Linked DNA regions of Macaca fascicularis. The protein of the gene in region 5 interacts with the protein of the main gene of each other region in a pairwise test. Links are inferred from orthologs where the notes say so. Each region holds a gene or a part of one and is shown on either strand. Other genes may lie near its edges. The genes, in order: DCTN4, SNW1, FAM161A, TP53RK, MTUS2, CRY2 and TLE5.

Region 1 (4,266 bases), on a different chromosome or scaffold from region 5:
GCTGCAGAGAGTATACATAGGGGTTATGCCTGGAAGCACTAGAATCAGACAGAAAAGGGTTCTACCTCTATGAAACCTTACAGATGAGTCACTGCACTTCCCTGTGCCTCAGTTTCCTGCTCTGTAAAATAGAAATAATGATAGCCACAAGCCTTTTGGAGTTGTTGTAAGAATTAGACAATATATGTAAAGTTTTGACACAGTGTGCTGCATTTAATAAGTGCTCAATAAATGTTTGCTAATAGTATTCAGTTCCCTTTCTCCTAAATCACCAACTCTAATGTCAGACAGGTAAATAATACAACACTACTACAATTATAAAAACGCAGACCTGGTAGCAGGCAACAGAGGCTCCAGTTTCTGCTAGGCAATTCTAGGTGGTCATTTTACATACTGTGGAGTCCCAATGAGAGAAAGGGAGTCAGGCTAGTAGGACCAAGGGAAAGCAAAAAGAGCAGATGCGCTCTAAGTCTGCCTTTCTTCATGGTGCAGGACACATAGCCCTCCTGTGCAAATAACTCACAATCTTCCTGCACTCAGCTATCACGAGACACATGCAAGTTAGCTCCCTGTAACCTTGGAGTTATGGGTATTGCACAGCACTCTGCAGCCCAAGAACCATCCGATAAAATCTCCAGCAAGTCTTTGTTTCCTTGAAGTCAGCTCCTCTCTGGCTGGTCGGCCCACTGCAACTTTTCAACGTATTTCCATACCTTTTCTAATACATCTGCATTTCTTTTAGGTTGAATGTATCAACCTAAAACTGTTGATATATTCTTTTCCCACTCACGTAATACCAGTCTCACATAGTCGCTGCTCACCCAAGACGCAGACCTGAGCCTTAGTTTACACATGAGAAAAACGTAGATGCCTACCAACATTGTTCATTCATTGATTTCATTCCCTCCTTTCATACTTATTGAAGGTCCACAATACACACTTAGACCTAATGCTAACTCTGTACTCAAAACCTGCGTGGAGGAACTCACAGCCTGAGTTTCAAGCGAGATAATGTATGTGAAAGTTCCCAAAGGCCATTGGCAAGACTCAGAAGACAGTGCTGGTGTGACTCTTGTCTTTCAGTCCCCACGGAGCCCTGTCCCTTTGAGACCTTCCATTTGTCTCCTGGATGCTCACCTGTTAAGTGGGGCAGGGGAGGCCGTAGTAAATAAGACAAAAGAGCTGCCTTCCATTCTGGAAGAAAAGAATAAAAGGAGCTCACTGAGTCCAGACCTAATGACAGGAAGAGCAGTGGACGCTCACACAACCGCTGGGGCACAGGCCCAGGGTTGGGGAGAAAACTGGGATCCCAGCTGCGCACGCGCGCTCTGGTTTTCGACGGGCGCAGAGCAGGACGAGGTGGGAAGCCTAACGTCAAAGTCTACGTAGGAAGACGTAGGGAAGGCAGCTAGGAAGACGCTGGCTCTCGGGTCACGTGATGCGGCGGGAGGTTCGTCGGCTCCTCCCTCCCCAAGATGGCGTCGTTGCTGCAGTCGGACCGGGTTCTCTATCTAGTCCAGGGAGAAAAGAAGGTTCGGGCCCCGCTCTCGCAGCTCTACTTCTGCCGCTATTGTAGCGAACTGCGGTCGCTGGAATGTGTGTCTCACGAGGTAAGGGAGTCGCCCCATAGCGAGTGTGGGGGGTGGGGGGCGCGGCGTTCCTCCTAGTCACTGCCACCAGCGGGCTGGAGCTATTTTCCTTCCTTACTGATTGGTTATGTCTTCCGTCACTCGGCTTTGCCTGCGATTTGATTTGCTTATAATCTGTCACTTGGAAAGGAGGAGCAGCCTCGGGTGGGGCTGAGAGGATCTTCTGGTTCTAGAGCGGCCTCTGATTGGACAGACTTGACTTAGGGACCGTGTCTGTCTCCGATGGGGCTTTGTAATTGGGTGGACTACAGAGAAAGGTCTGGGGGTGCTTAGTTCAGTTCATTAGAGGGGCGAAAAACTGCCTTTCCAGCTTTTATTGCGAGGATGGAGGAAGGCGCAGGCGTTCTCATTCATGGTTCTCCCATCGTGGAAGTTCTGCTCCTCTTTTGTCCAGAAATTGGGCCCTCCTCAGACTGCCCTTGCCCTGTTCCTGACTCAGGCCAAGGCCCGCAGCCGGGGAGAGGTTGGGGCGGCGTGAGTTATGTGCAAAGCCCTCAGGATACAGTATGTCATGTAAGAAGCTGAAAGTGTATTCATGGAGCTAGAGAACGATCTGTCCTTCCCTGGCATGAGCGGGCGTCCGAAGTTGGATTTTTCAAAAAGAAGACGACCCCGGCCAGTAAAAAGTCACCAAATAACAAAACCCCAAAACTTCTGCAGCGCTTGGCACATCTTGTTTATTCAGTAGGCTTAAGGGATTAAAAGGCGAGTAAGACATAACATGCGCTGTTTAATAAGCCATAGTCTAGTGAAGAAAAAGCTGATAGTAATAATAGTTGCTGCTTGTTCGATACTTGCTATATGTCATGTGATTTATGTAATCTTCTGTCCAAACCAATGAAGTGGATACCTTTAAGAAAATTTTTTTTTACAGGTAGAGAAACAGATACAGACTGTTTGCTGTAAGTCACACAGCCAGTAATTTGGGGGTGGGAGGGAGGGCCTGGATTTGAATCTAAACAGCCTAACTCAGAGTGTTTTTTACTGAAGATCCCGGGACTGTTAAAATAAGTGCACATGAAAACACATACTATAAACTATTTAATGTGTTATTAATAACTTATTTTATTGAAGATACTTTTCATAATAGAAATAGTCAAGAAAAGCAATAAAATAATACAAGAAAAATCGTAAAAATATGGCATTGATTTTTCTTCTTATCTCCATTAGCACTTTCCTTGTGTGTATCTCCTTGATGATTCCCTATTCCAGCTCCACCTCCAGAATTTATTGGATCATATTCTTCTGTGGTGAACAGAGTGCTCAGTCTCCATGATCTGTCTCTAAGGGTCTCTTCAATTAGGACATCCAGTCTGTGACAGCATCTTTTACAGCCTGATGTGTACCTGTGATGTGGAGGCCATTAGAGTTTAGGGAAAGATGAAGCTCTGAGGGCTGGGGCAGGCCGTGGACGTTCTAATGGAGAATCTGGATCTGGAGCTGCACATGAACAGACAAGCAGAATATGGAAAGGGGGCAAAAAGGAATGATTTGTATTTTGCCTTTTTTGATGAGTCAGTGCAGGTACTAGCAATACTGTATTTTGTGTTCCTGGAGATTATTTGAACAACAACTTTATTAATCTTGTCAAATTGACCTGTTTATAGCAAATGATGAAAAAAGTCAGTTTCTGTCATAGTATTTATGTTCCAGTGATTGTCTCTTCATTTGCAGGTGACTAGAGTTCTGTAATTGTCAAATAGGACCTACATTAAAGAAAATAATTATTCAGACTTTGAAAAAGTAAAATGAACTTAATTTTTTGACTCCCAGTTTTTTTAAGTACAATAAGACTGTCCCATTAATTTGTTTAAGAATCTCTAATTGGTTGGCTGTGGCTGACTATGTAAATATTTATGCTTTCCTTGAGTCAACCTGTATTACTTCAATAATGAGAAATCTTTAAAAAAATTTCCTTCAACAATTAAAGTATGGTCAAGTTTTTATAGTCATATAAAGCTAGCCTAGACAGGAGGATATTTTATCACAACTTTACAAATTGAATTGTTTTATTAAACTCTTCATTAGATTATCATAGAATTCTATGGAGTTCAATTGGAAACTGTAGATTGTTAAATAAACAACTTTCAACACATAAAATCTCAATGATGGAATAGGAGAGATGAGAAAAATAGAAGGGTTTTTTAAATCCAGAAGGAAAAAAAAACACACAAAAACAAAAAACAGGTGACTGAAGAATAAACCCTAAGCTGAGAACAGTCTACCTTCTGCTACAGTATAACATATTTTAAAATTCACTATTTGACAAGACATATACACAAGTTAAACTGAGTTCTCCTCTTTCTTTTTTCTTGTTTCCTCCTAGGTGGACTCCCATTATTGTCCCAGTTGTTTAGAAAATATGCCGTCGGCTGAAGCCAAACTAAAAAAGAATAGGTAAGACCTGGATATATATATTTCTTTCCCTGTTTTCCTTGACTGTTCTCTAAAATAGCTGGTTGAAAAGACACATGGGCCAGGCATGGTGGCTCACACCTGTAAACCCAGCACTTTGGGAGGCTGAGGCGGGGATCACGAGGTCAGTAGATCGATACCATCCTGACTAACATGGTGAAACCCTATCTCTACTAAAAATACAAAAAATTAGCTGGGCGTG
Region 2 (3,557 bases), on a different chromosome or scaffold from region 5:
GGATTACAGGCTTGAGCTACTGCACCCAGCCTTTTTTTTTCTATTTACTAAAACTTCAGGGTTCTAAGAATATAACAGATCATTAAGAGAGTACAGCAGATTTAACTTCCTATAGATGCTAAGATTATAGTGATTTATTCTGCCTTTGTTTGACTGTTACATTTATTTGAGGAGCAACTGTTGAACTGTTTGACACTGATTTCCTTTTATTAAAATCCACAATTATCAGCACAAGTATCTATTTTTCCAGAGGTTGGGTTCTGAAATCCTACTGTCTGAGTTTAAATCCTAGTCCTCCACTTATTTTAACGGTATGACCTTGGGGATGTTACCAAAGCATCAGTGAAATGGACACAATGTTAGAAGCTTTATAGAGTTATTATGAAGGTTAAATGAGACCATAGATGTGTTTGATCTTCTGCATAAAGCACTCATTGATAGCTGCTGTTATTTTGCGTCGTTGTGAAGAAAGATATAAGGAAAAAGAACCCCAGTTAAGTTTAAGTGGGTCCTAAAATGTGGGCATATTTTAATTTAATTTTAGCCAGGCTTGATGGCTCGTGCCTGTAATCCCAGCACTTTGGGAGGCTAAGGGTGGATCACCTGAGGTCAGGAATTCAAAACCACCCTGGCCAACATGGTGAAACTCTGTCTCTACTAAAAATACAAAAACTAGCTGAGTGTAGTGGCACACGCCTATAGTCCCAGCTAGTTGGGAGGCTGAGGTAGGAGACTCACTTGAACCCAGGAGACAGAAGTTGCATTGAGCCAAGATGGCACCCCTGCACTCCAGCCAGGGTGACAGAGCCAAGACTCCAGCTCGAAAAAAATTAAATTAATTTAACTTCAAATAATTAATTGAAGCACTTCTGTGACTGGGTTTTCTGTCTGCTTTCACCCTAGGGTTATACAATTCCATTAGACAAACGTCTGGCTGCTGATGGAAGAGGACTACAGACAGTACACATAAATGAAAATTTCGCCAAACTGGCAGAAGCCCTCTACATTGCTGATCGGAAGGTTGGTTGGTTATAATTTGTTTAATGCTCTTGTTACTTTTAAAATCCATTCTTGGTTACCTAAGGTACTGATAATTTAACTATAGTACCAAGCACCCAGAGAGAGTCTCACCCATGGTACGTGTGTCAGAAATGGCAGCTGCTAGTTGGCAGCTGTCTGCATGCTCCTAGCCTTTGTAGATGTGTACATACACCCCACAATGGTGATCCGGCTCCCTCACAACATGCCAGAATAATGATTTGCTGGGGATGATCCCATTTTGTGAAGACTGCTAGGTTTCGTAATTCTTGATTTCAAATTTTCCTGTATTTTAGATGTAGCTGTCCCACAAAAAGGCAGTTGCAGGCAAAGACAGATAAACATTCTAATGAATTGAATGCTACATAAAATGGCGTTCATAGCATTGGCCATCTATTAATATTGCATAATGTATTAAATATTATGAAATTAGGCCAGGCACAATGGCTCATGCGTATAATCCCAGCACTTTGGGAGGCCAAGGCTGGTGGATTCCTTGAGATCGAGAGTTCAAGACCAGCCTGGCCAATGTGGTGACACTCCATCTCTACTAAAAATATAAACATTAGCTGGCGGGCACCTGTAATCCCAGCTACTTGGGAGGCTGAGGCAGGAGAATCTCTTGAACCCAGGAGGCGGAAGTTGCAGTAAGCCAAGATTGCACCACTGTACTCCAGGCTGGGCAGCAGAGTAAGACACTTCATCTCAAAAAATATATATAAATATAAATATTATGGAATTAATAAATGATATTGAAGTTCACATGCATCATAGCATGTGTTTAGAACATAAAAAAAAGTCTTGTATCACAGTGAGTTCCTTATAAAAATTATCTAGCAGATGTAAGTTAAGATTTTATCTTGAGTTGACTTGATTCATTTTGAAAATGTAACCAGTCCCTTTTTATTTATTGATTTATTTTGAGATGTATCTCACTATGTTGCCTAGGCTGGTCCCAAGCTCCGGAGCTCAAGCAGTCCTTCCACTCTGGCTTCCCATAGTGCTAGGATTACAGGAGAGAGCCACTATGCCTGGCTTTACTTTTGTTTTTTAGATTGTTTCTGAGAAAGCATTAGTGAAACACTTGATTTACAAGATTAATTGGGGTCACTATAGTTTCAATCACTAAAATATTCCCAGAGAAGAAAGCTGACCTTGCAGTGTCTTCCAGGCAGGATATCTTTTAGTGGACAAGATTCTTTGTTTTAATTAGCAGTAACAAATCTGAATTCTGTATGATTGCTCTTACCAGCCAGATTTTAGGGAGCTGGATGACAGCCATAAATATTTATCCCATGATAGTGTCCTGTTTAACATGTGACTTTACTAACAGGCTCGTGAAGCTGTGGAAATGCGTGCCCAAGTAGAGAGAAAAATGGCTCAGAAAGAAAAGGAAAAACACGAAGAGAAACTTAGAGAAATGGCTCAGAAAGCCAGGGAGAGAAGAGCTGGGATCAAAACTCACGTGGAAAAAGGTATGACATTCTCATTACTGAATTGAATTTTACTTGGTGAACAAAATACATCTATTTTAGAAAATCTTTTTTTTCCTACTGCATATAAAGTTAGGTACATCTAAACAAAATTTAGATACTTCAGATATAGTGTAGAAATGGAGAGTAATCTCTGCCTTAGTAAACTGAAGCAACAGGAGATAATAAAAAAGTGGGTCTTCAGTTTGGGACTGTACCAGAAGTTTTTAAACTTCTGAGCAATGTACTTTTAAAAATTGCATTATTACTCAAATGATAGGCTTGATTTTCTCTTATTTTAATCTCAAAACTTAAGAGAAATTAGGTATCTAACTGAATAATTCCACTCCCTCATATGGTGAAATAATCCGGAGTTTTTCTACCTTGTAGGCTCTAATGCATCATTAAATCTGCCAGTATTTTCTCTCTGACTTTACTTAGTGGTCTACATTGGTGTATTAATTCAATTAGAATGGGAAGTCGAGTCCTAATTATAATTCAAGAAATTCTGTGAGGGTGGTTTTTTTCATTACTGAATTCTTACCTGGTACATTTATTCATTCTTTCATCTATTTAGTTCATATTGAGCATCTGCTGTGTGCAAGGTTCTCTTTTAGACACAAGGTGTTTTTGCTAGACAGTGGGTAGGGGGATGGGATATAACAATCAACATTCTAGTGAGTGTAGACAGACAAAAGTTAATGATGTAGTATAGTAAAAGGTAATAATTGATATGGAAGAAAAATAATACAGGGAAGGAGGATATAAAATTGCTGGAAGGTGAGAGTGGTCAAATAGCCCTCGCTTCTGAGATGGTACTGTTAGCAGAAATACTTGAAGGAAGTAAGGAAGCAAACCATGTGGATTTCTGGGGGAAGAGCATCCCACACAGAAGGGCCAGCAGGTACACGACTGAGATGGAAGTATGCCTAGTGTGGCTCAAGGAAGAGCAGGCAGGCCAACGTGACTGGATTGTATGAGAAAGAAGGGGATAAGCAGGAGATGAGGTGTCAGAATATTTAGGACAGGTGGGAAGAGTAGTGGCCA
Region 3 (3,557 bases), on a different chromosome or scaffold from region 5:
GTGTATAAAAACCATATTCATCTACACATTCATTCAAACCTTTATTAAGTACCTACCATATGTACAATCCTGTGCCAAATATTAAGGGAATACAAAGATGAATTTTTAAGTGGTGCCAACTCCCAAGGAGTTTACAATATAATAATAGTGAAAAGCAATTTAACACAAACTGTAGGGAGAAAATTACGAGTAAACATTTGCCCCAATGGAGAAAAACGACCTTACTTTTTAATTTAAAGCATAAATTGCCAGTTGGGAAACACTGCTATTACATACACCTGTATTAGTTCATCCTTTTAAAATGATGCTGATTGTTTTTAGAGAAGAAAATGTCTTATGCTGTATTATCTTTATGACTGACTTCAAATTTTAAAACAAAAATTTGCTTACAGAAAAAAATTATAGATTTATAAAATCAGATTAACATTGTACACAGAGAGACAAAGCGTGTTGGCAATAATATGTAAAAAGTTGAACACAACTGGGTCTAGCAGTAAAGAATTAAATCTGAATTACTTTGAAGACTTGCCTTAGCCAAGTTATTATGCACAATTTCATCATATATAAAACAGGGATACTTGCCCCTAATTTAGCACATGCCATAATTCCTTCCATCTGTAATAATACATAGGGTTAAAAAAGCTAGTACAAAAACTTTCCCAATAATATCAAAAATAATTTGGACTAGAACTAAGGATAAAAAGAAAAAGGGATGATGGTGTAGACAATTTAACAGTAAACTTTCAGTGCAAAAATAAATGTAAATTTGCAAGTATCTATTTTTTTTCTATACTTTTAAAAATGGCTCAGAGCAGCAAAACAAGTTCGAGGATTTATTCTGTGAAATGTATTGCAGAGAAAAAGAATGGGCAAATAGTATAATTAAAAATACTTATTGATTCACACTTTCCAAAATTTTTAAAAAGTAAATCACCAAAGACCAATACTTCTCTCTGCTTTCAATACTACGCCATTTTTTCCAGTAAAATTAATGAAATAATGTATTTTTTTAAAACTAATCAGTTTGTGACAGCTGTGGTTCTGAAACACTTTTTAAAAATACAAAATCATAGTTGCAAACAGATCATATCCAGTGATTTTTAAAACTGAATAGGCAAAGCCTTACTCTAACTGATCAAATGACCAATCAGCTGGATTCAGGCTTTTCAGGCTACAGATGACTTTGATCAACAGCCCTGCACATATCAGAGGCATCCCCACAGATGTTCTAAACACAAATGCAGCTGCTGACACCCTGACGCTGCAAACAACAGCAAGGGCATAGAGAGAAGACCTTGATGATTCAGTGTGATTCTTCAACAGATTTCTCTTCTTCACTTTCTTCATTGGCTTCATCTTTTTCCTTGTAAGAATCCTGGCTGTTGGTATCAATAAAATAATTTTCTTCCCCATTCTCTCTTTCTTCTATTTTTTCTTCTTCATTAAAGCTAGGGGAAGAAATTTATCAATCTTTCAAAGGAAAAATGAGTTAGTTTAAAAGTAAACAAACCCTCTGCAAGTATGCCACCATGTAGCCAGTCTTCCTCAAGTGTATGAATTCCAATTTGTTATCAAGACAGCTCAAAAAAAAGAAAGAAAATGCTATAAAAGTGCCCATTGAGAAATTTAATATTCCTGAAAATTAATTTATTTCAAAAATTTTTATTTTTTTATTTTTTTGAGATGGAGTCTCTGTCACCCAGGCTGGAGTGCAGTGGCGTGATCTCGGCTCACTGCAAGCTCAGCCTCCCAGGTTCATGCCATTCTCCTGCCTCAGCCTCCCGAGTAGCTGGGACTACAGGCGCCCGCCACCACACCCGGCTAATTTTTTGTATTTTTAGTAGAGACGGGGTTTCACCATGTTAGCCAGGATGGTCTCGATCTCCTGACCTTGTGATCCACCTGCCTCGGCCTCCCAAAGTGCTAGGATTATAGGCGTGAGCCACCGCGCCTGCCCTATTTCAAAATTTGAGTGATTCTTTAAACTTCATTTGAAAGCATGCTATTATTTTTGTTACTTATGTCAGTAAGAAATCTAAGTTATTCTGCTTTAAAAATAAAATACTTCATGTGAACGTTAATGTGTCAAACATGTTAAAATATCAGTATGTTTTACAACAGTTCACACGTCTTTTACTATTGGGTAAAAGATCTTTTTAAAACAATATAGAACAAAAAATATATATAGTATAAAATTGTGCTTTTCTGCAGGTAATACTTTTTCAAAGGTAAGCCATTCAGACATCTTATACATGTTACCTTTCTTTGTCTTCAGTGACACTTTTTGTCTCTTGATTGTTGAAGTACTCAAGTACTTTTCCACTTTGGCCTTTCTTTGAAACAAACTCATCAGATATTCCTAGTGCTTTTAGGGTATTAGAATAATGCTTTTCTGCTGCCATTCTTGCATTTTTCTATAGGAAAGACAAACCCTTTTAGACGAGAACAGAAGACTTTAAATTTTCATTAAAAATGTATGGATTAAAAGTGCCAGTGATAATTAAGTTCAGCAGTCACAGTTGGTTGAAAATCTGCATACCCTATGACCAACAATTACACTCCTAGGAATATGCCCAGAGAAGCTCCCACATATGTGTCCCAAGGGAGGACATATACAAGAATGTTCAGGATAGTACTGTCCTTCAATAACCCCAAATTGGAAATCACCCAAATATCTATTAGCAGAAGGATGGATAAATAAATTGTGGTCTATTCCTATAATGGAGTAAAATAAAGCAATGAAAATGAATGAACTACAGTTACATGCCACAACATGGATGGATCTCACAAATATAATACTGAGCAAACGAAGCAAAGCACTAACAAGTACATATTGTATGATCTATATAAAGTTCTGAAATGGGCAAAACAACTATATTGTTTGAGGATAGGTACACACACTGTAAAATTGCAATGAAAAACAAGGAAGTACTTATCCCGAGAGAATGGTGGTTACCTCTTGGGGAGAGACAGAAGGGCTGTGATTTGCAAGGGGCACGTAGGGTTTTTGGGGTGCGGGCAATGGTCTGTTAACATGGGTGGCGGCCACATTAGATTGATCTATAATTATTTTTTATATTGTACCTAGGTTTTATATACTTTTATGACTGTTTATAAAGATATCTGAAAAAAAGATTTCATGCAATAATTGTTGTCAGAGGATTCTTTTCTTTTCTTTTTGAGACAGGGTCTTGCTCTGTTACCCAGGCTGGAGTGGTGTGAACACAACTCACTGCAGCCTCAACCTCCTGGACTCAAGCGATCCTCCCACCTCAGCCTCTGGAGTAGCTGGGACCAGAGGCGCACACCACCATGCCCTGCTAATTTTTGTATTTTTTGTAGGATGGGGCTTGTTGTATTTTTTGTAGGATGGGACTATGTTGTCCAGGATAGTCTCAAACTCCTGGGCTCAAGTGATCCACCCGCCTTGGCCTCCCAAAGTGCTGGGATTATAGGCATAAGCCATGGCGCCCAGCCAAATTCTTTTATTTTATGTATCTACTGTAATTTTTACTCTTTATGAGCCATATCCCCAATTCATTAATGATAAAAGCACC
Region 4 (4,132 bases), on a different chromosome or scaffold from region 5:
ACTGGCCTGGCCTTTTTGGAGGAGGTGGAGTAGCTCTTCAAAAAGGCTTCAAATACAGTTTCAGTGTTGGGATGGGTACTGAGGAAGGCCTTCTCCAGGACATAGAGGTCTACTCCCTTATCCTCTGGAAGTGCCGAAATGAAGCTCAGCCCAAAGTCTATGAGGACAATGTTCAGCTGTTCCAGGGGGGGTTTCAGGAGCATGTTGGAGGTGGTGAGATCACCATGAATGAGGTCTTCATCGTGCATTCGAGCCAAAACCTGCCCAATTGTCTTGGCTAAGTTGGAGAGACTTTGGGGAGTTTTTTCAGTCTCCATAGTAGACTGAATATAATCTCGAACAGTCACTGAGCCTTCAATTTCTTCCATATATAAGCAGTTGGAAGCATAGTCCACAAAAAAGACAACTGGGGCAGATATTCCTGAAATCAAGACATAAGTGGTTATTGGGTTGGATTTTTTTTTAATGGATAAACTTAATTTTCAAAGATTAAGCCAGTTTTTCCATCTATATCTACTTATTTCAGGATGATTTAGGAATGCTACAGGGAATGGTACAACTGAATGGAATATTCCCCTGCTCCTGCCCCCTGCAGGACTATACCTGGGACCACCCCACAGCTAAACTGAGGAGGCCATAGCTTCCTCCTCCCTTCCAAACCACCCTTTCTCACTGAACTTCATTTGTCACACTCACTCTCTAAAAAACAAACAAAACAAAGGCTGGGTGTGGTGGCTCATGCCTGTAATCCCAGCACTTTGGGAGGCCGAGGCAGGCGGATCACTAGAGGTCAGAAGTTCGAGACCAGCCTGGCCAACAGGGTGAAACCCCATCTCTACTAAAAATACAAAAATTAGCAGAGCGTGGTGGTATGCACCCGTAGTCCCAGCTACTCGGGAGGCTGAGGCAGGAGAATAGCTCAAACTCAGGGGGTAGAGGTTGCAGTAAGCCGAGATTGCGCCACTGCAGCACTCCAGCCTGGGTGACAAAGTGAGACACTGTCTCAAAATACAAAAACAAACAGCAAGGCACAGCCCAGTCAGAGCAGTTTCTACTGATGAGGACACAAACAGGAGGCCAAGCAGTGTGCTGGCTTCGAGGTTCATCTTCACAGTCAGAGAGGACAGGGTTCAAATCCCAGCTCCTTTTCTTATTAGTTGTCTAATCTAATCTTAAAATTACATTAACTTCTCGGCCAAGGCAGGTGGATCACGAGGTCAGGAGATCGAGACCATGCTGGCTAACATGGTGAAACCCCGTCTCTACCAAAAATACAAAATATTAGCCAGGCGTGGTGGCAGGCGCCTATAGTTCCAGCTATTCTGGAGGCTGAGGCAGGAGAATGGCGTGAACCCTGGAGGTGGAGCTTGCAGTGAGCCGAGATTGGCCACTGCACTACAGCCTGGGGGACAGAGCGAGACTCCGTCTCAAAAAAAAAAAAAAAATTACATTAACTTCTCTAAGTCTCAGTTTCTGCTACAATAAACTCAAATGAATTTTTACTGAAAGTCAACCAGGCTCAGTATACTTTTCTAGAAACTGAGAGATGTATCAATGGGGATACAGCAATAAACAAGCCAGCTATAATACAATCTCTGCTTAACGAAACATATCATAAGAGGCTGAAAACAGAAATATGAACACACAAATAAGTTCGTGAAATCTTCAGTCTCTGAAAGGGCAGCAATGTGTCTGCTTGTTGGCTACTGAATGTCCCCCCTTGCTAGATCTCCCAGCACTTAACAATGTCCTGGCACCCACAAGTACCTAAAAAATACTAATAAAAGAAAGGCACGAAGCGTAAAATTAAAAAGCCAGTACTTCTGAGTCAGAGGCATACGGAGCTGAGGGCCTGGACCGGCCACTTAGTAGCCGTGTAACCTTGGGCAAGTTACTTCTCTCTGAGTGTCACTTTCTCAACTGAGGACAAGGTTTATGGCGCTGGCGCACAATAAATAGGCAATTTAATGAAATCCAACACTTACTGAGCACTATGTGCCAGGCACACATTCGAACATAATACACTGCACACAGACCTCCTCTAATGGTCACAACATCCCTATGACATGGATATTGCTACTATGTCTCCCATTTTACAGGTGAAAAAACCGAAGGTGAGAGGCTAAATAACTTGTTGAAAGGCTACATAAGCAGCAGAGTTAGTATTTCAACCCAGACAGCCTGGCTCCAGTGGGGCAAGTACTTGTAATTACATGTTTCTTAAAACTAATAAATGAAAAGATAATGATCGAAAATTGAAACGAGTCAAATGGGGAAATCAAGGCTCAGGGAAGTTAAAGATGTTCGACGTTGAGCAATAATGACAGCGTCCAGATTTGAACCTGGCAGAACGGCCCCAGGACAAACGCTTGACGCTGCAAGGCCACGTGGTTTCTTAAGACTTAACGAATGAAGAAAGGGATGAAAGAATAACATTTCCGAAAGGCTGGCCACGGCAGAAGGCACAGAAGGAGAAACTGAGGCAAACCGTGGCTCGGAGCGCAGGAGAGTCCCTCACCCGCCCAGGCCCTAGAGCCTCGGGGCCGCCCACGCCAGGATCCGGGCCCTCCTTACCCGCGCGGCGGCAGCGGAGGAGAGCTCGCGCTTCCTGCACCGTCCGCCGCCGGCCAAGCCGCGCCTCCAGCGCCGGGTGCCGGTAGCCCTTGGGGAAGCGGTGCTTTATCACCGCCGCGCGGCCCTGGAAGCGGCCGCGGAACACGCGCGCCTCGGCGCCCTGCTTCACCAGCTCCAGGCCTCTCAAGAAGCGGCTGCTTCGCTCCCGGGCCGCGGCCAGAGCCTCAGCCTCTGGCGCGGGCTCCTCGCCATCGTCCGGGGCAGCAGGTCTGGCCGCCGCCATGACTGTGCTCGGCGGTACAGCTCCGACCGACCCGCTCTCTCTGAAAACTGTCGCGATGCTTCGGCTCGCTTCGGAAATCCTGGTACTTCTTCGGTTACCCGAACGCTTCCGCCCCGGACACTTCCGGCCTGTGAGTGGTTACGCCTCCCAACCTTTCGGCTCTCTGAAGCCTTGGGTTCCCTGCAGGAAGGGCTCCTGTGGCCCCGCCTTTCACCTCTTCGGCTATCTCCGTACACGTTCGGCAACTCTCGGTAAGTGGCTCTTCCCTACTCCTTGGCTCTCCGGAAATCTTCGGTGATTCCCGCAACCGGTTTTGGGAGATCACCTCCCAGTTGGTCGTCTCTTTCCGGAGAACTTCAGCTCCTCTCGAGAAAAACGTCGGACGCTCTTTGCTCACTTAAGGAGTCTCCTCCTGGACAGGTGCACCCTCTAGTAGTGTCTTTTTGGAACACCTCTTCCCCTGACTCCTAAATTCCCCCCAGAATGTACTCATACTAGTCAGTGTCGGAAGGGTCAGACAATGAACCGTGTTTCCGACATCCTCTTAAGTGCTAGGATAACTACCATTTAGTGCATTCAGAAGAAATAAGATTAAATGATGAAAATCCTTACAGAAAAGAAAATTGAGACTCAGAGAGGGCAGTGGGGGTGGTGGGATGGGGCGGGGAGTGGGGGCTGGGGAATCCAGGAAAGTTTTCCGGAGACAGAACCTAAACTGAATTGGGAGGAATTAAACTTTTTCAGTTTCTACCTGTTTCATTACAAAGCTAATAACACAGGCTGTAGCAAATTCTTACAATACGGAACTTTGCGCGCACACACACATATAAATAAACTGCCCATCCTCCTTGTGACACCGCTGGCCGTTAGTTTCTTTCCAGAACTTTCTTTTATTCAGTGCGCACACTCACACATCATTGTGGCCTTTTTTCCAACATAAATGACATCATACTGTGGGTTCTTTTGCAACTTGCATTTCATTTTCCTAAACAATTTATCTCGGACTATATTCCATATCAGTACATACAGAACTACCACATCCTTCTACTTGGTCAGGCAGTTTCTTGTTGCTAAGCAGTTGTTTCCAGTTTGTTGTTTTTCAGAAAAACACTTTACTTACTATTGCCAGTTTATTATAAAAGATAGTATAAAAGATAAAAAATGAACAGCCAGATGAAGAGGTACATAAGGGAAATTAAAAATTGTACGTATTTATCATGAGCAACATGTTTTGAAATATGTGTACATTGTGGAGTGGCTAAATCCAGCTAGTTA
Region 5 (4,265 bases):
GAGTCTGATCTATTTGAAGAATACAGTAATTTGGCATTCTTTCTTCCTTTGACCTGGCTTATATTATATTCACTTATTTAAACATGGAAGCCTATTTAATGCATACTCATCTAATTTCATACGAATTATAGCAAGTGAAATTTCAATGGGTCTCCTGAGATACTGGGTGCATCTTATTAAGAGAATCAGACTCTTCTAATTAAAAATGGTCATTTCTCTAGACAATCTCCTCTAGTCAAAGACTCCATTTCTTCACCAGTGTATCCATGGAAATCTGCAATTCACTTAAAGAGGACATTTTACTTTCATAACTCATTGAAAATATGTCACAGATTTTGGGACAGTCAACTTACAGACCATATCATGATGACATTCTCTTACCTCCTGCAAAAACTTTTCACTCATTTGACCGAAAGGATGTCCTGGGGGCTTGATTCCAGACACCATCAATCCGGAACTGAAGACCCTTGGCTTCTGCAGGTCTGGCTTGAATTTCTCATAGAGGTTGGCAGACGGCTTCAGGTCACCACTCACAGCCTTCTCTTCATGGGGAAGAGGCATGGTACATGTGGGCGGGGCATATGGAAGCCCCACTGGAAGCAGCGAGGCGTCCACCTGGCCCAGGGCCTGGGGACTCCTCCTGATGTAGGTGATGATCTTGGGCCTCACATGCTTGGGCTTGGGCATAATGACGGGCTTGGTTTCTGTCCTCTCCTCTGTTTTTTCAACCTGATGGTTCTCCGTTCCCTCCTGCGAGGAAGGTGTGTCCTTGGAATGTGTGAAGACAGGCTTGGGGATCCCACTGGGGCAGGCGTTCTTGTCAGGCACTTTGGGGGATGTGTTCGACAAGCGTGCACTATCAGCAGGGGGTGGTACCGCCAAGGGGGACACTGCATCCATACCGAACACGCTAACATCCTGAAAACGGCTACTGGGTGTTGTAGGCTGGTGGGTCATGTTCACAGTTGTCTCTGGGAGGAGGGGTGCTGGAATATTGAGAACTGAATCTACTCTTGCTGAGGTGCGTTCAATCTTATCAGCATTCTCTAGAAGGTTCCTGCTTTCAGCAACAGATGTGGTGATCTCTCTGCTTTCCCGTGCTTCTGAGCTGCCACTTTGAGGTTCCAGGGGCTCAGGCACCTCTGTCTGGCTCTCTCCAATGGAAGGATTGAACACCAGAACTGTAACACTGTCCTTGTCCACTGTGGGTTGCTCACTGCCCAACTGCCTTTCCTCCTCAATGACATCCAAGGGTTTGCTGTCAGTCAGATTAGTAGGAATAAAAGCCACATGACCATCACCTGGTGAAAAGCTGCCGGATGTCCTTTCACCCAACTTCCCACCTGCACATGGTGAAATGTTGCCAGTGGGCTGACTATCAGCCCCTCCTAAGGAAGCAGAGGCCTGTTTGGGGGTGGCGTGGAGAGAATCCGGCTTCCCTGGGTTGACTCCTCTCTTCTCTTCACTGTTGCCTCTTCCCACCCCAAGGTGGTGGAGGTCACTGTTTGGCAGAGAGCCAAGTGCATCGGTGGTTTCTGGGTGCGCCTCCCCACACAGATCCTTTCCCTCCAACGCTGAAAGATTCTCTTCCCTGTGGCATCCCAGATACCCTTCCTGGGCTGCCTTTCCCTCCTGTTCAACCCTCCTGGGTGAAACATATTTCAGCTCCAGCTTGGCCTCTGCCTTTCCCTGACCTAATTGTGCTTCTGGCTTACTCGGGATTTCCCTCGATGTCAAAGTCAGATTCAGAGCAGGCTCTGGATGGGCGGAACGTGGTATGTGCTCACTGCACGCCTGCAGTACATGTGCTCCCACTGTCTGGGTCTCTGAGGGGGTGCTCTGCTTGGTCTCTGAGGTAGATGGTTTAGGATGACGCACACTCTTTCCCTGTGAGGTACTGTCAGTTGGAGGGAACGCTGCCGGGAGAGCGCAGTCTGGCAACGTCTTCTGTGGCCCCTCCCCACCCCCAGGCACCTGACCCCGTGCTTCCTGGGAGTCAAGGGGTGCAGGCTGTGGATGCTGCGGAGTCAGGCTCCCGACTACAGCTACAGAGCTGCTTGCTCTTTCCAAAGAATGCCTCCTCAGTTCCTCATTGTTGAGGGTCTTTGCCAATTTATCCTTGGGAACGTGCCGGGGAATTTCAGCATCCCTTTTAGCCAAAACGTCTAGACTGGCCTCACCCATCACATTTCTCCAACTCGACAGACTCGGTCCCTGGATACTCCGCGGGGTCTGCGGGCTATCTGCGCCTCTCTCCATTGTGTGCTCCTCATTGAGTTCCCTCTGAATGGTTGAAGAAAGTCTAAAATCTTTCAGGCTGGTGGAGCCAGGCTGAGATCCCTTCTCAAAGCTCTGAAGTTGGTGAAATTCCTTATGGAAATGGGTACGGTTTTCTGGCTCACTTGAATTTGTATTTCCAATTTCATCTTCCAGGTCACATGTCTTGGACTCATCATGAGAGGAGCTGACCTCCAACATGATTTGATTGGCATTTGTATCTCCCAGACTTAGGATGCTCTCATTATTATTTCTTGCTGCATTTCTGTTGTCCCGCAGCTGAGTGTAACATGATTTCTTAGGAGCCACTGGGACGCTCATTGTCAACCCTTTGGTGGGGCTGCTTGCCATGCAGTCCTACTTAATGGAAATGGGCTGCCTTCAAGCTGCAATCAGATTAATAGGAAATTCTCAGGCTGCTTGTCCTCCCCTGACAATGTCAGCTTGTGACACTGCTTTAATCATTCTCAGAAGAGCTTGAAAAGCAAGCATTCTCTTGATATACAGCAGGAACTAGGTTCCGGCTGAATGAGAGCCAATTAGTCCGTGAAACCTAGAGAGAAATAAAAATACATTCACATTAGATGGACAAATAGAACTTCTCAGGAGGAAAAAAGTGGTAAACACAGATTTATTCGTCATTTCTATACTATTATTTCATTCACTCGATAGTTTTCTCAAAAACCTTTCTGATCAGGGCTCCTGCTGACCAAATACGGACAGAAATTAAACATCAGAATGTTTAATGTTAGAAATCGATTATAAATGCATGTGAAATCTTAAATCCAAATTTTAAACATCCACAAGTCTATACTGATACTGATTTAAAAGGGTGGAGGAGAAGTAAAGGCTCTTCTTTACAGAAGAGCATCAACGAATGTAGAAAAAAATTTACAGAATTTGAAAAATCACTATTTTGCAATCTCTGCATTAATAATTATCTTGCACAAGGGATGCCAAAGGTACAAACATTGGGTAAAAGATTGTTGGGGAACAAGATATTTATAGATGCTTAAAGTATCTTCCCCCCAGCTACTTTATTTCTTACAAAAAGAAAATTTGATCTTTACAATGGAGAGATCTGGTAGACACCACATTAACCACGTGATCAAATTTAACATCACTGGTATCGAAACTGACATGACGGACTCCTGATATTAGTTAGTTCTCAGGGCCACACATCACCTATGCAGTAATGTTCAACCAGAATTTAACCATGAGAAAATAACCTGGCGAATTTAAATTGAGGTATGTATTACAAAATAACTGGCCTAACTGGTCCCAAAAAAAAAGTCAGCAGAGGCTGGATTTTCAAAATATGTTAGCAAAGGATATTATTAGGACAATGAGAGATGTAAATATGGACTGTATATAAGGTACAGGTATGTCATAATTAATTTCCTTGGGTGTATAATCGTGCTATAATTATGCCAGAGATCATCTTTGTTCTTGAAATATCCATGCTTTAGAATTCAGGGGTAGTATGTCATGATTTCTCTAACTTATTCTCAAATGATTCAACCAAGAAAAACATGTGTATGTATGTGTGTGTGCATATGAGAAGGAGACATATGTGTGCAAAAGAGAGAAAGAAACTGGCAAAAGTCAACCATTTGAATATCTAATTAAGAATTCTACTACATCTGCAGCTTTTCTATAAGTTTGAAATTTTCCAAAATAAAAACTTGGGGGAAACGCTTCATTCCGGCCTTCGCGGCCTGCATGATCAGGCCCTGAACACCTTTCTGGCCTCATCCCCACCTCACCATCTGCTCTGCAGGCTGCTGCCACATTGGCCTCATTCCTCACAGTACCATGTTCATTACTCCCTGCCTCAGGGCCTTTCCACATACTTTTCCATCTGCATGGAATGTGGAACCATCCCCCAGCCTCATCTAACAAGTCCTTTGCATCCTTCAATATGCAACGTAACTACCACTTCCTCCAGGAAGCCTTCCTGACTGACTAGGTCGTCCTATAATGATGAA
Region 6 (4,120 bases), on a different chromosome or scaffold from region 5:
GAGTGGTGCCAATTAATGCCACTAAATTGCAGACTAAATTGCTAAATGCTTTCATCACACTGTCCCAGGTCCAGGAAGGGTTCCAAGCATGGGCTCAACCTAGGGCCAAGTTGAAACTGACTGTTCTCCACCTGATAACCCCAAAGCTGCAGCTTGACTAAGCCATCTTAGCCTTCCCCAACACCTTGTTGCTGGTGTTTATAGCTTCTCTTGCCATTTAGTCAGTCAATCAGCAAGCTCTATGCTAGACGCCAGAGGAATAAGAGGGTTCCACCTGGCGTCCCAGAAGAATGGGGACAGTGTCCTCCACATCTCTGAACCCCACCCGGAATCCAGTACAGTGCTTTGCACACAATAGTACCACTGGATCTACTAAACAGACTAAAAGAAAATAAATTCATCTGATGGCATAATTACGAGCTCAAGTCCTCCACATTCCCAGTCCCTACTCCCAAATCCTCTAATGCTGCGTATCAGGGCACTCCTTCTCCATCCTTGGACTCTGCCACTTGGAATTACCAAGGATCTTCGCACAAAGAGAAGTATAGCTTCGTGGATAAAAGCAGAAGTTTCAAAATCAGAATAATATGGGTGAAATCCCTCTTAGTAGCTTTATGATACTGAGCAAGTCGCTCAACCTGCGGCACCCTCCATTTTCTTCATCTGTAAAACAAAAATAACAGCAGCTCTTCCACTGGTGTTCGTTAAATGAATGTAACTGGGCTGAGTTCAGAATAGTAAATGAGACCGACTACGTAAGGAGATGATCATGTCTCTTGCCATATAAAGTGCACTTAATAAATGGCAGTTGTAGTAGAATGATGTAGATGATGCTGGTGACGATGTTGGTGATAATAGGAAGGTCAGTTGTCAGTTTTGCAAGTCTCTGGCTGTAGTCACAGCAACCCCTACCAGCCCAGGTAGCTTCTTCTAGAAGCAGGCCCTGAACAGGACATGTGTAAGAGATCCGCTGTACCTCGAGACTCGGCCCACTCCCGGCCCTCCGCGGACTGTGCCAGCCTGCGTCACTTGTCCGCCTGCCAGCTCCACCCAGGCGGACCCACACATGGTAGGAACGTGAGGGGGCGGGGCCTGTTCTGGCGTCTCTGGGCCAATCGCCGGGCGGGAGGCACTCAGCCAATGGCACAGGGGCTCTAAGGCCCTGGGGGCGGGGACGAAGGGAGGAGCTGCGGCGTCATAGGTCACTGGGCGGTCTGTGGGCGGGGTCCGCGTCGCCTACCGGGGCGGAGCGGGGGTGGCCGGAGCAGTCTGGACAGTCATGGCGGCGACTGTGGCGACGGCGGCAGCTGTGGCCCCGGCGCCAGCGCCCGGCACGGACGGCGCCTCTTCAGTGCACTGGTTCCGCAAAGGGCTGCGGCTCCACGACAACCCGGCGCTGCTGGCGGCCGTGCGCGGGGCGCGCTGCGTGCGCTGCGTTTACATTCTCGACCCGTGGTTCGCGGCCTCCTCCTCAGTCGGGATCAACCGATGGAGGTGAGGGGACCCGGGGCGGGGTGGCGGGGACGCAGCCAGGACCCTGACCCTGGGGTGACCGGCAAACAGCACGATTCTCTCAACCTCTCCACGGCTGTGAGGCCGTGGAGAAGCCGAGACCGGGGAAGTAATTCGTCATGGTCCTAACGCGCCGGTGGGCCAGGGCTCAGCCTCTGACAAAGCGCGTTCGCACTGTTACCCCTCTGAGCCTCACAACTGCCTGTGGAACGGAGATCATGATCCCCGTTGTACAGATGAGACCCTTGGGCCCTGGAGACCCAAAGTCGACCTGTCCAAGGACTTGCAGCCAGTGAGTGGCGGAACAGGGGCTCCTGGTCTAGGGCTCTTATGGTCTACTCAGGGAGGGGCAGAAGGAGATACTGTGGTGTGAGGGCGGGACGGGTTTTTGCTCGCATTCTTCAAGTAAAGAGCCCATTGCTGGGCTCGGGGAGATCATTCCTAAGCCTCTGGCTTGTTTGAATCCGCCCTACCACCCATCCTGGCTTCCCTGCGCCCAGACCGTCCTGCCTCTAGGGGTGTCAGGTGACCCTGGCTTAGCATTAAATAAAGTCTTCTCCCCTATATTATAAATAAAGAAGCCAAAGGTGTCTTCAGGTGGAATCGCGTTGTGTTCAAAGCTCCAGAGAATCCAGGGGATTCTCCAAAATGGTTTAAGCCCTGCTCTGGAGCTTTGACCTCGATAAAAAAAATTTAAAAGGATCCAAAGTGTCACCCCGTCATCCTCTTGTCATGATTTTAGAGGACAGTTGAGCCATTAGAGATGAGACTTCTATGAACTGTTGTGCTAAGGTTAGGGAGCAGGAAAGCCATGATATCAAGGGCCCCTCTGATGACCCCCCAGGAGATGGAGTCGACATGATCATGGAAAAAGATGAACAGGTCGTTAATGTATTTTCTTTGTAAGCAGTATTCAAATTAAAGAGTTTTGAGACATCATGTACCCATCGCTCTTCAGAACACCTAGTGGCAGTCGCTGGGTTTGTTTACATTGTTCTGGGGAATGTTTGCTTGTGGCCTTGTTGCACTGATGGACAGGGTTATTTCCAGGATACCGTGGCTCTCGGCACACCATTCTTTTCTCTCCAAGGTGTGTACCCTGCTAAGAGAGTGAGTGCTCCTAGCAGTAGGTCTGTTCAGTGTCCCCTCTTGCCCAGTTTATATAGAAGGAACAATTAAAGAGTCCTGTGGAGAGCCTGCCCACAGTTTTCAGGCTGCCTTATTGCTCTGTCTCTGCTCCAGTTTTCTACAGATAGGAGGTTGGGTTTGACAAGCATCATCAAATGACCATCCCTAGTGTGGACATTAAGCCAAGCCTCAGACTGCCCTGCACCAGTCAGAGCCAGCCAAATGGAATCCGACTACCTTCTTGTTACATTGTCACAGAGTTTCTTCTTTTATTGGGTTTTGGGGGACACTGCCTAGTACTACCTACTCTTTTTTGATAGGGGAGATTAAAAATCAACAATAAAATTCCTGTTGATTAAACTCCAGTTTGCTAGGAACCAGGTGTTTATGGATTTTTGTGGGTTATCGTTTTGTGATTGTGCTGTCAATCTAGTGAAGGAGAAAAGGAATGTGGCTTAGATGCCTGAGTCAAATCCTGAAGTCAGAGGCTGTGTAGGAATGCAGATATTAATTGATTACTTAATGAATGCCTAATATCTGCCAGGTAGTGCTCTAGATGTTGCTAGGGATACAGCAGTGAATAAACAGATGTGTCTGTGCTCCAGAACTCCTGGAGCCTACATTTTATTGAAAGAAGACCAGCAAACAACCATAATTTAGTGAAACGAAGTGCCATGAGAAACATAAGATAAGGGGACAGACTAGAGCAGTGGTTCTCAATCTTGGCTGCTATGTATTGGAATCCCATAAGGATCTTTAAAAGATGCCTGGGCCCCTTTCCCCCAATTCTTTTTTTTTTTTTTTTTTTTGAGATGGAGTTTTGTTCTTGTTGCCCAGGATAGAGTACAATGGCACAGTCTGGGCTCACTGCAACCTCCGCCTCCCAGGTTCAAGCAATTCTCTTGCCTTAGCCTCCCAAGTAGCCAGGATTACAGGCGGCCACTGCCACATCTGGCTAATTTTTTTGTATTTTTAGTAGAGACAGGGTTTCACCATGTTGGCTAGGCTGGTCTCAAACTCCTGACCTCAGGTGATCTACCCACCTTGGTCTCCCAAGCTGCTGGGATTACGGGGCATGAACCACTGTGCCCAACCCCTTTCCCCCAGTTCTGTTAGAATTGTTCTTGGTTATGGCCTGGGCATTAAGGTTTTGGGGTTTTTTGTTTGGTTTTGGTTTTGGTTTTTGGTTTTTGGTTTTTGGTTTTTGGTTTTTGGTTTTTTGTGGGGTTTTTTGAGACAGGGTCCTGCTCAGGTGACAACCCAAGCTGAAATGCAGTGGCATGATCATAGCTCACTGCAACCTTGACCTCCTGGGCTCCAGCGATCCTCCTGCCTCTGCCTCCCAAGTAGCTGGGACTGCAGGCTTGCACCACCATGCCTGGCTAATTTTTGTATTTTTTGTAGAAATGAGGTTTCACCATGTTCTCCAGGCTGGTCTTGAATTCCTGGTCCTAAGCAATCGCCTGCCTGAACCTCCCAA
Region 7 (4,123 bases), on a different chromosome or scaffold from region 5:
GGATTCCCACCTCACTCAGAGCAAAAGCACAAGTCTAAAGCCAGGTGCGGTGGCTCACACTTGTAATCCCTGCACTCTGGGAGGTAGAGGCGGGAGGATCACCCAACGTCAGGATTTCAAGATCAGCCTGGCCAATATAGTGAAACCCATCTCTACTAAACATACAAAAATTAGCCAGGCATGGTGGTACGCACCTGTAATCCCAGCTACACGAGAGGTTGAGGCAGGAGAATCACTTGAACCCGGGAGGCGGAGGTTGCAGTGAGGCAAGATCACGTCACTGCATTCCAGCCTGGGCAACAGAGTGAGACTCCATCTCAAAAACAAACAGCTGGGCAAGGTGGCTCACGCCTGTAATCCCAGCACTTTGGGAGGCCGAGGCAGGTGGATCACCTGAGGTCGGGAGTTCAAGACCAGCCTGACCGACATGGAGAACTCTCGTCTCTACTAAAAATACAAAATTAGCCGGGCGTGGTAGCACGTGCCTGTAATCCCAGCTACTCGGGAGGCTGAGGCAGGAGAATCACTTGAACACGGGAGGCAGAGGATGTAGCGAGCTGGGATCGTGCCATTGCATTCCAGCCTGGGCAACAAGAGTGAAACTCCGTCTCAAAAGCAAACAAAAAACAAACCACCAGGTCCCATCCCTCCTCCTCCCACAGCCTTCCAGGGCTCCCACTTCACTCACCCAAAAACCCAAGTCCTCCCCATGGCCCACAAGTCCTTGCTGGACTGGCCTGCTTCACCAGCTACAGAGTTAGCAGGGCCCAGTGCAAAAGAAAACTGAAAGGCCCCTTGTTCAAAAATGATTAGGAATCTCAAAATGCAGCACTAAATATTAACCCAAGCACAAGCCCTGCTGAGGAGTGGGGGGGCCTGGGCAAATGCATGAAGCCCCAGGCCCTGCCTCCCTCCGGCCTTCCTGACCTCCGCCCTGGCACCCTGATGCCAGGCACAGTCCTGCCCCAGGGCCTTTACACCTGCTGGTCCTGCCTCTGAGTACCTCTGTACCCCATCCCCCTGTTCTCTCTCCTTCTTTGGGTCGTTTTAGGGGCGGAGGAAGCTCTCTCTGATCCTCCCTGCCACCTGTTTAACTTTGCATCTTCCTACCCTGCCATCCTCCCGGCTGGTTTTTCTGCAGAACCGTCCCCACCATCTGACCTGCTGGGAATTCAGCTTGTTAATTTGTCTCTGTCTGTCTCCAGGCACCACCACCAGAGCAGGGACCCCCCACCCCCGCCCCCACCACAGGGCCCTGGAGCAGCAGGCCCTGGCACACAGTAGGCGTTCTATAAATGTGTCGCAAGAATGGCTTCCCTGAGAAAGGCGGCATTACCGCTGCCTTTCTGCAGAAAAGGAAACTGAGGCTCAGCGAGAACCACCGCCCAGCCAGAGCCAAGGTCACAGAGCACGTCCGTGGCACGCGTCCAGGTCGTGCCACGGCAGGGCTGGCGGCTTCGACGCGGGCAGCCGGGTCCCTTTTCTTTGACAGATGGGGAAACCGAGGCCCGGCCTGCTGCCGGGTTGGGGGGGGTGGCGGGGGCCGCGGCCCGGGGCGGGGGCGGGCGGGGCCCAAGGTCACCGCGGCGGGCGGGCCCTGGGGAGGCGGGCCGGGGTGGGGATCCGCAGGCCTCCCCGGGCGCGCGCCTCCCCCCCCTCGGCGGCGCGCACGGGGCACGGGCGGCGGCGGCAGGTGGAGCCGGAGCCTCTGCATCAGCCGAGCCGCGGCCACTGCCGGCGTCGCCGCCATTAGACAATAGCGGTGGGGCCGGGGAGCGGGGAGGCGGGCGGCGGGGAGGGGCGGGGAGGGGCGCCGGGCGCGCAGGAAGCGGGGCCCGGGGCGCGCCGGGGCCGGGCGCGCGGGGAGGGGGCGCAGGAAGCGGGCGAGGCCCGGCGCGGGAGGCGGCGGCGGCCCCGGGAGCTGCCGATCGGCGCCGGGACAAAGGCGCGGCCGCCCGGCGCCCCCAGCAGCCCGAGCCGGGGCGCACAGCCGGGGCGCAGCCCGCGCCCCCTGCCGCGACTGACATGATGTTTCCACAAAGCAGGCATTCGGTAAGCGGGGTCCGTCCGGCAGGCGCCCCCACCCCGGATCCCGGCCCTGCGCTCCCCACCCCCGGCTCCCGGCCCCGCGCCCCCCACCCCCAGGCCCGGTGCCTCCGGCCCGGCACCCCCCCCAACTCCCCGGCCCTGTCTTCCCTCTCCAGCTCCAAGCCCGGCGCGACCCCCCTCCTGCCGCCGGCCCCCGGACACCCCCCAGTTCCCGATCCACCCCAGCTTCCGGGCCCCGAGCCCCCCCGTCCCAGCTCCCGGCTTGGCGCCCCCCCCCCTCGCCGGGACAGGCAGGGCCTCGGACGGCCTTGGCCTCGGGCCTGGGGCGCTCCGGGAGCCCCGCCAGGCACCTCTAGCGCGGGGATCCTTTGGGGGCCTGTGGTGGGGGGGCGATCCGAGGCGCACCCCTCCCGGAAGAGCGCGTCCCCGAGGAAGGGCGCTGGGAATCTGGGGTGGGCCCCCCGGGAAGATTTCGGGCGCCGAGAGACCCCTCCCCCAAGAGGGCTTTGCTGGGAGGACTCGCTGCCCCCCAACTTGGGGAGGGGGCTCCCTAGGGTGCGTATCCACCCCCCTCGGATGTGCACTCCCTCCCGGCGCTTTGGAGGGGCGGTAGAGGGCGCACCCTGCCCCCCATCTAGGGCAGGCCTTAAAACGCACCCCCACTGCTTGGAGGTGGCGGGGGTCGGGGCGGCTCCGGGCGCACCCACCCTCTCGGCTTCCCCCGGGAGAGGCGGGGGGCAGGAAGCGCGGGTGGGGGCCGCGCCAGGGGCCGTAAACACGGGCCCAGGAAGTGGGGCAGGAGGGGGGGCGCCGCAGCTGCGCGGCCGCTCCCTCCCGGCTGGCCCTCGAGGGGGGTCCAGCCCAAGCCAGGGCCTGACCCGGGCCGCCCCTTCCCCACAGGGCTCTTCGCACCTACCCCAGCAACTCAAATTCACCACCTCGGACTCCTGCGACCGCATCAAAGACGAATTTCAGCTACTGCAAGCTCAGTATCACAGGTGAGCTGGGGGGCCGAGGGTCCCTGCGTCCCGAGAAGGTGAGCCCCCCACCCCATTTCTTCTGCGCAGATGGCAAGGCTGAGGCCTGGAGGGGAGATTGGGAAAATAATGTATGCTAGACTCTGACCTAATACTTGACAAATAGGGAATTCATTTTTTTTAAACAGCTGCATTCTGTGGAGGACAAAACTGAGGCACAAAATAAGTTAAATAATTTGCCCAAAGACTCAGCTGTGTGGCTTCAGAGCCCCTCCCTCCTACCCAATCCCCCCAAGTCCCCCCTTGGATAAAAGACAATTGGAGTTAGGGCACAGACTCGCCGTCCCCCCAACCCCCAAAACAAACATTTTGCAGCCTGGTCATCTCTCTTTGCCCAGTTTTGGAGAAAGGGTTCCCAGCATCAGTCAGATTCTCCCAGGTGCTTCTTTCAGAAATCTCCTGGCGTTTCTGAAGAGCTTGCCATGCTGTGGTATCTAAGGGGAAGGAACTATTTAGTCCTTTTACACTTAAAGAAATTTAATCCCAGGCCGGGTGCCACCGGTGGCTCACGCCTGTAACCCCAGCACTTTGGGAGGCTGAGGCGGGTGGATCACTTGAGGTCAGGAGTTCGAGACCAGCCTGGCCAACATGGCGAAACCCCGTCTCTACTAAAAATACAAAATTAGCCGGGTGTGGTGGCAGACGCCTGTAATCCCAGCTACTTGGGTGGCTGAGGCAGGAAACTTGCTTGAACCCGGGAGGCGGAGGTTGCAGTGAGCAGAAATCGAACCACCACACTCCAGCCTGGGTAACAGAGAGAGACTCGGTGTCCGAAAAAAAACAAAAAAAAAAAAAAAGAAGAAGAAACTTAAGCCCAGAGAGGTTATTTCCTCGGGGATGTCCGTAGCGTTGAGGAAGTGGCAAGGCTGAGGTTTGCACCAGGTCTCTCTCCTGGTTTAAGGTTTAAGGATACAGATTTTCACCTGCCCTACTCTGGAGGGGCACGCCGGGCCTGGGAATCTGGAGGAAGTCAGGCTACGCTCAAACCCCCGTTTGGCCTTGGGGCCCTCTCCAAACTGAAGTGTGCCCACCCCAGA

What was found.
Region 1: the proteins of MTUS2 (region 5) and DCTN4 interact in binary tests that used the Homo sapiens proteins (3 or more experiments, as listed by UniProt). The two-hybrid records come from large-scale screens. The link is inferred for Macaca fascicularis from reciprocal best matches to the Homo sapiens genes MTUS2 and DCTN4.
Region 2: the proteins of MTUS2 (region 5) and SNW1 interact in binary tests that used the Homo sapiens proteins (3 or more experiments, as listed by UniProt). The two-hybrid records come from large-scale screens. The link is inferred for Macaca fascicularis from reciprocal best matches to the Homo sapiens genes MTUS2 and SNW1.
Region 3: the proteins of MTUS2 (region 5) and FAM161A interact in binary tests that used the Homo sapiens proteins (3 or more experiments, as listed by UniProt). The two-hybrid records come from large-scale screens. The link is inferred for Macaca fascicularis from reciprocal best matches to the Homo sapiens genes MTUS2 and FAM161A.
Region 4: the proteins of MTUS2 (region 5) and TP53RK interact in binary tests that used the Homo sapiens proteins (3 or more experiments, as listed by UniProt). The two-hybrid records come from large-scale screens. The link is inferred for Macaca fascicularis from reciprocal best matches to the Homo sapiens genes MTUS2 and TP53RK.
Region 6: the proteins of MTUS2 (region 5) and CRY2 interact in binary tests that used the Homo sapiens proteins (3 or more experiments, as listed by UniProt). The two-hybrid records come from large-scale screens. The link is inferred for Macaca fascicularis from reciprocal best matches to the Homo sapiens genes MTUS2 and CRY2.
Region 7: the proteins of MTUS2 (region 5) and TLE5 interact in binary tests that used the Homo sapiens proteins (3 or more experiments, as listed by UniProt). The two-hybrid records come from large-scale screens. The link is inferred for Macaca fascicularis from reciprocal best matches to the Homo sapiens genes MTUS2 and TLE5.

The regions. Positions count from the first base shown.
Region 1 is NC_088380.1:157,634,052-157,638,317, reverse strand, and holds the start of DCTN4 (dynactin subunit 4), read left to right. Parts: upstream 1-1,449; 5' UTR 1,450-1,475; coding exon 1,476-1,610; intron 1,611-3,975; coding exon 3,976-4,046; intron 4,047-4,266. UniProt on the Homo sapiens protein: Part of the dynactin complex that activates the molecular motor dynein for ultra-processive transport along microtubules.
Region 2 is NC_088381.1:145,686,434-145,689,990, reverse strand, and holds part of SNW1 (SNW domain-containing protein 1), read left to right. Parts: intron 1-903; coding exon 904-1,020; intron 1,021-2,371; coding exon 2,372-2,513; intron 2,514-3,557. UniProt on the Homo sapiens protein: Involved in pre-mRNA splicing as component of the spliceosome. As a component of the minor spliceosome, involved in the splicing of U12-type introns in pre-mRNAs.
Region 3 is NC_088387.1:60,093,771-60,097,327, reverse strand, and holds the end of FAM161A (protein FAM161A), read right to left. Parts: intron 2,415-3,557; coding exon 2,260-2,414; intron 1,449-2,259; coding exon 1,304-1,448; 3' UTR 23-1,303; downstream 1-22. UniProt on the Homo sapiens protein: Involved in ciliogenesis.
Region 4 is NC_088384.1:102,741,234-102,745,365, forward strand, and holds the start of TP53RK (EKC/KEOPS complex subunit TP53RK), read right to left. Parts: upstream 2,858-4,132; coding exon 2,575-2,857; exon of another isoform or gene 2,390-2,574; intron 422-2,389; coding exon 1-421.
Region 5 is NC_088391.1:8,910,592-8,914,856, reverse strand, and holds the start of MTUS2 (microtubule-associated tumor suppressor candidate 2), read right to left. Parts: upstream 2,832-4,265; 5' UTR 2,831-2,831; coding exon of another isoform or gene 2,735-2,830; 5' UTR 2,629-2,734; coding exon 382-2,628; intron 1-381. Other genes in the region: uncharacterized protein, read right to left, coding at 2,735-2,830. UniProt on the Homo sapiens protein: Binds microtubules. Together with MAPRE1 may target the microtubule depolymerase KIF2C to the plus-end of microtubules. May regulate the dynamics of microtubules at their growing distal tip.
Region 6 is NC_088388.1:20,015,726-20,019,845, reverse strand, and holds the start of CRY2 (cryptochrome-2), read left to right. Parts: upstream 1-1,266; 5' UTR 1,267-1,279; coding exon 1,280-1,494; intron 1,495-4,120. UniProt on the Homo sapiens protein: Transcriptional repressor which forms a core component of the circadian clock.
Region 7 is NC_088393.1:3,763,019-3,767,141, reverse strand, and holds the start of TLE5 (TLE family member 5), read left to right. Parts: upstream 1-1,282; 5' UTR 1,283-1,295; coding exon 1,296-1,523; intron 1,524-1,662; exon of another isoform or gene 1,663-2,025; coding exon of another isoform or gene 2,026-2,052; intron 2,053-2,332; exon of another isoform or gene 2,333-2,604; intron 2,605-2,949; coding exon 2,950-3,047; intron 3,048-4,123. UniProt on the Homo sapiens protein: Transcriptional corepressor. Acts as a dominant repressor towards other family members. Inhibits NF-kappa-B-regulated gene expression. May be required for the initiation and maintenance of the differentiated state.